Arabidopsis thaliana: one gene and its partners. The protein of the gene in region 3 interacts with the protein of the main gene of each other region in a pairwise test. Each region holds a gene or a part of one and is shown on either strand. Other genes may lie near its edges. The genes, in order: PIN6, RBL14 and PIP1C.

Region 1 (3,755 bases), about 29 Mb from region 3:
ACCAGACACATTTTTAGTTCTTGCCCCCTTTTCTCAGACCATTTTCTCACTCACTTTCCAATTTTTCCCTTTTTAAAAAAAATCCTAAAATTTATAGTGTGTAATATAGAATTTTGAAATGAAACCATCATTTTTCGCACTTGAATTTGATTTGATTTTCTAACCTACCAATAATCTCACTTCTATTCATATTTTTTCCCCTTTCCTCGATCCCATGCGCTTCCTCTTAGTCTTCATTCTCATCATCATACCTTCTTTTTTCCATCTTTTTCCTCAGTTTTTTGTTCTTTTTTAGATAAATATTTCCAAAATATTAGTGAAGACCTCGTTAATAATGTTTAAACCATAGTGTTTTCATATGTATATGCGTGTGTATACTTTGGTGGTAACGTAAAGAGACGAGGTGACATAACATTACGATATAGAATGATAAAGACAGCTTCGCTAGTCGTCGAGAAACAAACAAACTTGCTTATCCTGAATTGTTTTAGTCAGATTCATGTGTGTACTAATATATACAGACAATATAGGTTACATGAGGCTTTGATGCCATTACCCATCGGGGAAAATAATCATAACTATAAGTGATTATATATATTATCCTACATAACTCTTGTCTGCACATTTTGGTTAGAAAGTAGGGTTACTTAATATTTATCTTAGGTTAGATATATAGGACGGAATCAATAATCCCAAACTTTTTTGTAGCCTTTCGTTGACAAAGTAAATTATTTATTTTATAAGAAAAAGGTTACGTATGACTTAGTTCTTGCAATTGCCAAAAGGCTAAAGGCTAAAGGCTTTTAAGCTTGAGAGTAAAAGGCTAACACTGTAAGTCTCCACCCATTTCGCCGATATCATTGATCTTAGATTCTATGAGGATCTCCTTTCACTTTCTTTATGTATATATGTACAATTTCTGTATATCTATGTGAATAAATTAAGAACAAGGTAATCATGTCTCTGTGGACCCTTTGCTTAATTGTGACATATGTATTGTTAGTACAAGAAGCTCATTACATTCCTTTTATATGGTCAGAAGTTCCAAACATTTTCTAGTTTCAGATATGTTAGCTTTCCATATTTTAAGAAAATTAGTAAACCTGACTCTACTTCATTATTGATTGTTTTAATTTGTTTTTTGAATAATTGATAACTGGTTCTTTTATATGTTAAAAGACGAATTTCATGATATTGTTCTTGAGCATAGCGAGACGAGGTATATAATGGTGGGAAGATACATCAAAAGAGTTGCATGAGACAAAAACAAAATGGAAATTGTCATGTCATTAATGACTGACCAATTTCCGTAGCTTTAACTAGAAAGCTTCAAATTTGAAGTATATACTTTATCTTCATTTTTCGTGCATGTATTTCTAGTAGATTTTGAATTGAATAGTCATATAGCTTTTCGTCATAAAACACACCAGAAATAAGAAGTTTAATAATCAATAAAAGAAAACAAAAGAGTTAGGGGGATAATTTGGGTGAAAGCCTATTTCGACAAGACACCAAGTGTGATAGTTTTGGATAAACAGATATTTTTTATCCGAGTTTGCTGCAACTGTATGCAAAAAGTGTAAAATACTGCAAAAGTAGATATACACTTGCTAAAAGTGAAAATACTGTAAAAGTAAAAATAAGAGAAAAGAAAACAAAAGAGTTAGGTCAATAATAAGGGTGCAAAGCTCACTTAAGCAAAACACAGAATTTTCAATTTTGGGTAAACAAAGTGTACTTTTTTCTTGAATTACGAAATTTTGTTTATTATATAGATTTCTGAAATAAGAGACTTATGCGTGTACATATTGAGAATGATTATACGGGTTACAAAGCAAATCTATTGCATGAAGTTATTCTAAATATTCTATTAAAATCTTTTTCCCGGTTTGGATTAGATTTTCAATAATTTAATTATGAAGTTGAATTAAAAAAAAAAAAGAGTAACAAATCAACTTATTAATTAATTTTAAAATTGTGATGAGTCTATTTAATGAGAATTTTAGAGATTAAAATAATGATGAGGTCCAGAAAAAGAAAGTGCTTTATATATAGATTTCCAACTATATATGTATAGCAGCAGTATTTTACCAATCTATATAATAATCACTAATCCCTCCCTAATGCAATTTCATAACGAAGCTAACTAAGGGGTAATCTCGTCAACAAGTCTCTATATAACCCAACACACAAACATTTGGCACATAACTTAACCTACATAGTACATACCAAGAAGAAGAAGAGGCAAAGAAAAAGATGATAACGGGAAACGAATTCTACACGGTGATGTGTGCCATGGCACCACTCTACTTCGCCATGTTCGTGGCTTATGGATCGGTAAAGTGGTGCAAGATCTTCACGCCGGCGCAATGTTCCGGAATCAACCGTTTTGTCTCCGTTTTCGCCGTCCCAGTCCTCTCTTTCCACTTCATCTCACAAAACAACCCTTACAAAATGGACACAATGTTCATCCTCGCCGACACTTTGTCCAAAATCTTCGTCTTCGTTTTGCTCTCTCTATGGGCCGTTTTCTTCAAAGCCGGTGGTCTCGATTGGCTCATCACTCTATTCTCAATCGCTACTCTCCCTAACACTCTCGTTATGGGCATACCTTTGCTTCAGGCCATGTATGGAGATTACACTCAAACCCTCATGGTCCAACTCGTTGTTCTTCAATGCATCATTTGGTACGTTATCAAATTACTATCCGTTCTTTATTCATTTACCCTGTGATTGATTAGAAAACCTCATAATAATGGAATTATTTTGTGATTTCACATATTTTTACCACACATTTTTTCATGGATTTTGTAACCAAAACTTAAATGAATTTCGTTACTCTAGGATATAATTCAACCAAATCAAATGTTTTTACTAACCCAAGCTTCTTATTAGTTGAATTATTTAATTATAACGTATGATAATATAAGCTAAGTGTATATACATGTATAGGTATACTCTGCTACTATTCCTCTTTGAACTCCGAGCAGCGAGGTTGCTTATCCGAGCAGAGTTTCCGGGTCAAGCAGCCGGATCAATCGCCAAGATCCAAGTCGACGATGACGTCATTTCCTTAGACGGCATGGATCCGCTCCGTACAGAAACTGAAACCGATGTTAACGGTCGGATCAGGCTCAGGATCCGACGGTCCGTATCATCCGTACCTGATTCTGTTATGTCCTCCTCCTTGTGCTTAACCCCTAGAGCCTCTAATCTTTCTAACGCCGAGATTTTCTCCGTCAACACTCCTAATAACCGTTTCTTCCACGGCGGAGGAGGAAGCGGTACCCTTCAGTTTTATAACGGTAGTAACGAGATCATGTTTTGTAACGGAGATTTAGGCGGGTTCGGATTTACTCGACCCGGATTAGGTGCAAGTCCTAGAAGGCTCTCGGGTTATGCTTCCTCCGATGCTTACTCGTTGCAGCCAACACCACGTGCCTCGAACTTTAACGAGCTTGACGTTAACGGAAACGGTACGCCGGTTTGGATGAAATCTCCTGCCGCCGGGAGAATATACCGGCAATCTTCGCCGAAGATGATGTGGGAGTCTGGGCAAAGACATGCAGCCAAAGATATCAATGGTACGTTTTCTTTGAAAGATGTGTCGTTTTCGTTTTTCGTTAGCACTGACACGACGGCGTTTAGTCAATTTTCTTCTCTTTTCGTGTTTTTCTTTATCATTGGTTCTTTTAAAAGATTTAATGAATAGAAAAACATTGATAGACTACATAAAATGCAGCTTTTCAGAAATA
Region 2 (3,755 bases), on a different chromosome or scaffold from region 3:
CATTCCATACGACTTCATGATTAACATCCCTCAATATATTGATTATGACAATGTTCGAAAAAACTGTTAGATGCCAGGCAGACGACGATTCAACCGGCCAAGTTTTGTTTCCGCGCGCGCGCATAAGTCCACTATCTAATATGCAACCATTACGGTAGAAGTTTACTTGGTCCATTTTCATTGATAACAACAAAAAATCGTAAAACTTTAAAATTATGATGAAAAACGTAAAAAAGAACATGGGAAAATATATGGCGGAATCACAAAGCATGAAAAAATGCTTCGGAATGATTGACTGAATTTACAATTGGTAGAATTTAATTTTAAGAGATAACATTTAAAAATTCAAAACATTAGTTAGCTGTCTTTATACAAAAGAGTTATTTGTGTACCAAAAAATAGAAAACGAGATATATGACCACATGATGAGTTTATGCATGCCTATTACGCCATGCAAATAGATACACACACACATAGTTGTGCCTCTGACTTTGTCTGCAAGTACGTTTGTATGGTTCTAGACAGTAATTATTGTCCTAAACCCACACGCTCTGTGAATACTCACTAAAGGTTGTTTTCCGTAGAAATCATGAACAAAGACTTTAAAAGCAAAACAGAACAATAAATCAATTAATAAGTTCAACGGGATATAGTGGAAAAGAAAACACAGATACACACCATTGGATTGAAACAGTTGCATTTGTGGTCTTACATAAACCTACGTGTTCTTTTATAAGCCAACCAATACTTTTCTCTTTTTTTTTGTTTGAAACGAGTTGCAGACTTTGAGTGGCCCCAAAGAAGAAAGAAAAGATGCAATTTCCTTTGGTTTGATATTCTCTTCAACCTCTTACCTCTCTATTCTCGTCTTTAGCAAAATCTCAAAAGACAAAAAGATATTGATGTCTCTCCAACGACCCAATGGGAACTCGAGTTCGTCTTCTTCCCACAAGAAGCACAAAACTGGTAGGTGTTGAAAGAAACTTATCTAATATTTAACTTAATTTGGTTTAGAGAAATTGGTTTGTATAATTCTCAGAGGAAAGTGATGAGGAGTTGTTGATGGTTCCTGACATGGAAGCAGCTGGATCAACATGTGTTCTAAGCAGCAGCGCCGACGATGGAGTCAACAATCCGGAGCTTGACCAGACTCAAAATGGAGTCTCTACAGCTAAACGCCGCCGTGGAAGAAACCCTGTTGATAAAGAATATAGAAGCCTCAAGAGGTAATCAATGATGAGTAAAAAAACTTTTTTTTCTTAGCATTCGATTTGTGGAATTGAAATGGTAAAAAAGAAACTGTGGTGAAAAATTACAGATTATTGAGGAACAGAGTATCAGCGCAACAAGCAAGAGAGAGGAAGAAAGTGTATGTGAGTGATTTGGAATCAAGAGCTAATGAGTTACAGAACAACAATGACCAGCTCGAAGAGAAGATTTCTACTTTGACGAACGAGAACACAATGCTTCGTAAAATGCTTATTAACACAAGGCCTAAAACTGATGACAATCACTAAATATTTACCCTTTAATCCATTGTTCAGTGTTGTATGATTATCTTTCTTTCTTTTTTGGTTTTGGTTTGTATACACTTTTTGTTCGAATAACATTCACTTTGAGCATCATTGTCATTCAGATTTGCAAAATAAAGTAAAAAAAAACGAAAAAAGGCAAGAAGAGATTAGGTATAAAAACTAGAGTTCTAAAATGCCGTGGTGGGTCCCACATGTTCTTATGCGAGTGAAACGAAGAAGTCTCTGGAGAATTTGTTTTCGTAGAGACCAAGCTGCTGCTATATAAATATTGTGAAAGAGATGAGATTTTAATTACTTGTAAGTGATTCAGAGAGATCAGAAGAAAAGAATAATTACGAAGAAATGGAGAATTTTGGTGAAGGGAGAAGAAGTGGAGGCGGAATGTTGCCGTTGCTGGCTCTAAGCGCCGTCGCGGAGTACTATAGACTACCGTGGAAACCACCGGTGACGGCGAGTCTCCTGGCCGCGAACACTCTCGTTTATCTCAGGCCGGCGTTTATCGATCCCGTTATTCCTCACATCAGTGAGGTCTGGTTCAATCCTCACCTCATCTTCAAGGTAAACCAATCTTAATAAATTCCTTCATTCGCCAAGAGAAATTGATTGCAATTTGACCGATTTCGATCTGAAATTCGAATTTGAGTTTCCTGGGAAATTTGTACCAATATCTGGAGAATTAGGGATTTTGTTCTTCGATATCTAATTAGATCATTCTTGATTGATTAATTCTATTCTCTGTTAAAGTTTTTTTTTTTAATCTTGATGTGTATTTGTTGAACAGCATAAGGACTTGAAGCGTTTATTTCTATCAGCGTTCTACCATGTTAACGAGCCTCACTTAGTCTATAACATGATGTCACTTCTCTGGAAAGGTATCAAGCTTGAGACATCAATGGGAAGCAGTGAGTTTGCTTCAATGGTCTTTACTCTTATTGGTATGTCTCAAGGAGTCACATTGTTGTTAGCCAAATCGCTTCTTCTCTTGTTTGACTATGACAGAGCTTACTACAACGAGTATGCGGTTGGGTTCTCGGGTGTTCTCTTTGCTATGAAAGTTGTTCTTAATTCTCAAGCTGAGGATTACTCAAGTGTGTATGGTATCTTGGTTCCAACAAAGTATGCTGCTTGGGCAGAATTGATTCTAGTGCAGATGTTTGTACCTAACGCTTCGTTTCTTGGGCATTTGGGTGGAATCCTTGCTGGTATTATCTATTTGAAGCTGAAAGGTTCTTACTCAGGCTCAGATCCAGTCACTATGGCGGTTAGAGGTGTATCTCGATTGGTGACGTGGCCCTTGAGGTTTCTGAATGGTATGGTTAGGTCTCGGAGAAGGAGGATTACGGGGAGAGGAAGAGTGGGAAGAGGTCAGACTGGGATAGCAGGACCTGGTATTTGGAGATGTCAGTCGTGTACATATGACAATTCTGGTTGGTTAAGTGCTTGCGAGATGTGTGGCTCGGGACGGGCTAGAGGAAATGGATGGTCACTGAATCAGGGACCAGCACTTTCTTCTTCTAATGATCTCCCTTTAGATGAGCTGCGCCGTCGAAGAGTAGAGAGGTTTAGTTGATCTCGGGAGCGCATTCTTAAAGCTGAGGAAGGATTGTGAATGAAGCTTTGTTGAATCATTCATTGCATTAGCTTATGAATAGCAGAGTTAGTGGTCGTGTTTTTCGATCTGTTTCTTCAATTTGTCTTCTCTTTTGTTGTTGAAGATTTGGTTCTACGTGAACTGGTCCTTTGATTAGATTGCTGAAAGTAGCGAGTGATTCAGATAATATAGTATCTTCACACCAAACTTACAGTTTCACAGACTTTCGATTTTAACAAAATTTTATCCTATTTCAAACCAAATTTTGTTGAAAGAAGAAGATCACAAAGCAAGATATAAATGTTAATCAGTAATCAATTTCCCTTTTTTCTTCCTTTTGCCTCCTTGCTTGATTTGCGCTGAGCTTGGAACATACGAGCACACAAGTGGATCTCGAATTTTATCAGTAGTTTTTCCGAGATCCACTTCTTTGTAATATCCATCCTCTCCAATGATGTAAGCTGTGTTGTGAGTGGGATACATTACATCTTTGTCTTTAGCAAAGACTACAACAACTTTCTTCTCTTCGTCAATGATGAAACTCGCATCTGCAATTCCAAACTTAAAATCAGTGAGTGGTTGCATATCCACTGCTAAGAACAACTTGCTCCACATCACCTCTTCAGGTT
Region 3 (3,755 bases):
TTAAAATAAACACATGATCCAGATCTCTCAAATATTTTCAAGCTCAATTACAAACCAAGATGCAACAATGAAGTTTTATAAAGAAAGAAATCAAATCAGGATCTGGACTTGAATGGAATGGCTCTGATGACAAGTTGGTGGTAAAGAGCCGCAAGAGCTGCTCCAATGAATGGTCCGACCCAGAATATCCACTGCAAACCACAATCAAACCACAATCAAACCAAAGTGACAAAGACATATAGAAAGACAAATCAACCAAATGATGTAATGGGGTACTCACGTGGTCGTCCCAAGCGTGGTCCTTGTTGTAGATGATTGCAGCTCCAAGACTCCTAGCTGGGTTAATTCCTGTTCCGGTGATTGGAATCGTCGCCAAGTGAACCAAGAACACAGCGAATCCGATTGGGAGTGGTGCCAAAATCTGCAAAAAAAATAACCCTAAATTATGAATCTTTTTCTAAACACCCAAAACAATAAATTAAGAGGAATCAAAACAAAATTATACCGGAACGTGGGAGTCACGAGCGCTTCTCTTGGCGTCAGTGGCGGAGAAGACCGTGTAGACAAGGACGAAGGTTCCGATTATCTCAGCACCCAAACCAGAGCCCTTAGTGTAGCCGTGAGCGACTGTGTTGGCTCCTCCGCCGAGAGTTTGGTAAGGATTTGGCTGGAAGCCTTTGACAACTCCGGCGCCGCAGATGGCTCCGAGACATTGCATCACGATGTAAAAGACAGCTCTCGTCAATGACAGCTTACGAGCCAAGAACAGACCAAATGTCACCGCTGGGTTTATGTGCCCACCTGTGAAACACACACACACACACACTCATCAGAATCAACTCTAAATTAAGATCTCTTTGAGAAAAATCGAAAACTAAAAGCAGAGCTACAAGGGTTTGAAGCATGCAACAAAAGACCAATTCTACTTGTATTAAGAAGATAAAAAAAATGGGGTTACCAGAGATTCCAGCAGTACAGTAGACAAGGGCAAAGATCATGCCACCGAAAGCCCAAGCAATGCCTTGGATTCCAACAGAGGCACACATGTTTGGTGCTCTCTTCACTCCCATCACTGTCAATACTGTTATGTATAGAAACAGGAAGGTGGCTATGAACTCGGCGATTCCGGCTCTGTAGAAGGACCACGAACTCAGCTCGCCTGGCTCGAAAAATGGAGCTGGTGGTGGCTCCTTGTAGTCTTTGTCCGTCTGAGCCGATGTACCTATCGGTTGCCTCTCCGGGAACTTGTTAGCTCCCACTCGAACATCCTCTTCTTTCCCTTCCATCTCTATCTAGAAAACGTTCAAGTGTTCTTTGCTTTTTTTCTTCTTTTCTACAATGGGTAATGAGAGTGGCTGAGATAGAGAAAGAATGGTTTTATAGAGGCGAGAGAGAGAGAGAATAGAAAAAGCAAAAAAAACTAACGTCTCGAAACTATTATGATATATTTAAATAATGAGAAATACAGGGAATCATGGATAACGATGATCTTCGTAAAAGCATATTTATTTACGTTAATAATTGTAATAGCCTACTACTTGATGATGTTTAATCATGTAACACAACCCACGCTTATACTAATTCTGTTGCGTTGGCTAACTATTAGTATTATATTCTGAAACTCCTTATAAAGATAGCATGTTTGACCTAATTTATTCTCAAATGCCTTGCTACAGGAGTACTACTCAGTCAGCAGTTAGAAATGTAAAAAAAAATATTACAGTGCCAGAAAACTCACAAAGGACTAACTTTTTGACTAGTCGACGAATTAATAATTTACTTCCGACCGTTGGAGAAGAAAAGGAAAAGAAGTGTGTGGAAAGCGATTGCTTTATGTAAAGTAACATAGTCTCGAACATTGTGCCGGGCCTAGAGTATTTTTAAAATGTTTAATTAAATTACTATGTGTACTACTAGTGACAAAATAATCACAATGATTGTGAATTTGAGGTTTTTCAATTAAACGATATATATTTTAGAAAAAAAGAAAATGAAAATTGGAGATAAGGTTCAATTTTGCGGGGGTTTCCAGCTCAGAAATGGATTTTGCTTTTCTGTGATCACATGTTCGTTTCCCTATTCCCACTTTCCTTTTTCTATCAATCTATTCAAACCTAACAAAAATAAAATTCAAAACTCTGTTGTTGTTATCAATTCACATATTTTTAACGCTATATGAGCCATACTTTACTAGTTAAATGGAGTTTAGTGTTTAGGATTCAAACCCTATTAGTTTTGTTGATGTTGTCTTACCCGAACAATAATTGAATTTATAAACAGATTAACTCTATTGTAGATATCGATTTTTAAAAAACTGAAAAGGGAAACAAATAATCCGAAGCTAAACTATATGATTAAGAAACACCTTTTATTGAACTAGTGGTGGGGTTTGCCATTTTTCGAAACGCAACCCACACACACACATCACAGTCGTCTAGCTGCCCAACCAACAGAATCACGACACGTGGTTGAAGAGGCAAATATGTGTTGGTGGTGTTTACTGGGGCGGTCCCGACCAAAGTCCGTATATGACATCCTTTCTCAGTTGTACAAATCACATTTCATTATAATTCATTTCATCGAATTATCTATCTTTTAAATTTTATCAATATCTTTTTTTGTTAGAGGCGTGGACCGTATGAATGTATGATAGTATAGAAATAGAAATAATAACGTTGGCATTGTTATTTAACAAGCAAACAAATGATTAGGTTGATTGATGAACAAGCAATGACTAGGTTGATGAATTTTAATTGTTACTGACTTTGTCTGTGTACGTAGCTGGTACTTAGTTGGTACATGCCTATCAAAAGAAAAACTAATATTTTGCAACGAAGCAGATCCTTCATTGCTTACATACATGTGGAAAAAGATACGATCAATATTTTAAAAAATCGTGAATTGAATTTTGTTTTATACACACAGACGACAGACAAGCTTCTGACGTGGGCTCAAAACACTAAAACGGCCTCTGAATCAGTCAACACTTTGAGGCATGAGAGATTGATTAAACCACAGACCAAGTCTTTACGACAAATCAACTCGAGCCCAATAGGCTCTAATAAGGCCCAATACGATATAATCGTCTTCTTCCTGTAGAGTCGGGGACCTGGGATTAGTCAATAAATGAGTAGAATTTTTGTAAGGAAGAGAGTAGTTGGTGAGCGTCGCCATTGAAGGGGAAAGCAGCCCAACTTTGCATTGAATGACACTTAAAATCTTTCTCTCAGCAGCTGTCTTCATTTATGATCGATCCTACTTCTTTCTTCTCTCTACCAATTTCAAGATCTGGTCGTCGCTCACAGGAGAAACGTAATGGAAAACAAAGAGACCAAGCAAGAACCAGCAGCAGCAGCTGAGCAAAAGACCGTTCCGTTGATCGAAGATGAGATCGAGAGGAGCAAAGTCGGGATCATGAGAGCTCTCTGCGACCGACAAGATCCTGAAACTAAGGTCCCTATCGATTTCTTTAAGTAAAAAAAGAATTCAACCAGAAAAGTATTGATTTGATAAAAGCCCTAATGATTTGGATTTGCAGGAGGTGGATGATCTGATGATAAGGAGGTTTCTGAGAGCGCGTGACCTGGACATTGAAAAGGCTTCAACGATGTTTCTAAATTACCTGACTTGGAAGAGAAGCATGCTCCCAAAGGGGCACATACCAGAAGCAGAGATTGCAAATGATCTATCGCATAACAAGATGTGTATGCAAGGTCATGACAAGATGGGTCGACCTATCGCTGTTGCCATTGGGA

What was found.
Region 1: the proteins of PIP1C (region 3) and PIN6 interact in a protein complementation assay, tested with the Arabidopsis thaliana proteins (one large-scale study listed by BioGRID).
Region 2: the proteins of PIP1C (region 3) and RBL14 interact in a protein complementation assay, tested with the Arabidopsis thaliana proteins (one large-scale study listed by BioGRID).

What each region holds. Positions count from the first base shown.
Region 1 is NC_003070.9:28,968,599-28,972,353, forward strand, and holds the start of PIN6 (Auxin efflux carrier family protein), read left to right. Parts: upstream 1-2,115; 5' UTR 2,116-2,256; coding exon 2,257-2,687; intron 2,688-2,952; coding exon 2,953-3,584; intron 3,585-3,755. UniProt on the Arabidopsis thaliana protein: Component of the intracellular auxin-transport pathway. Regulates auxin transport and auxin homeostasis. Directly involved in the regulation of nectar production. Involved in unfolded protein response (UPR) activation.
Region 2 is NC_003074.8:6,023,069-6,026,823, forward strand, and holds RBL14 (RHOMBOID-like protein 14), read left to right. Parts: upstream 1-1,727; 5' UTR 1,728-1,877; coding exon 1,878-2,093; exon of another isoform or gene 2,094-2,316; coding exon 2,317-3,105; 3' UTR 3,106-3,429; downstream 3,430-3,755. Other genes in the region: HYH (HY5-homolog), read left to right, coding at 903-966, 1,040-1,226, 1,319-1,517; AT3G17620 (F-box and associated interaction domains-containing protein), read right to left, coding at 3,430-3,755. UniProt on the Arabidopsis thaliana protein: Probable rhomboid-type serine protease that catalyzes intramembrane proteolysis. May function in the heat-shock response pathway.
Region 3 is NC_003070.9:225,891-229,645, forward strand, and holds the start of PIP1C (plasma membrane intrinsic protein 1C), read right to left. Parts: upstream 1,654-3,755; 5' UTR 1,287-1,653; coding exon 959-1,286; intron 802-958; coding exon 506-801; intron 422-505; coding exon 281-421; intron 192-280; coding exon 96-191; 3' UTR 1-95. Other genes in the region: AT1G01630 (Sec14p-like phosphatidylinositol transfer family protein), read left to right, coding at 3,316-3,453, 3,539-3,755. UniProt on the Arabidopsis thaliana protein: Water channel required to facilitate the transport of water across cell membrane. Its function is impaired by Hg(2+).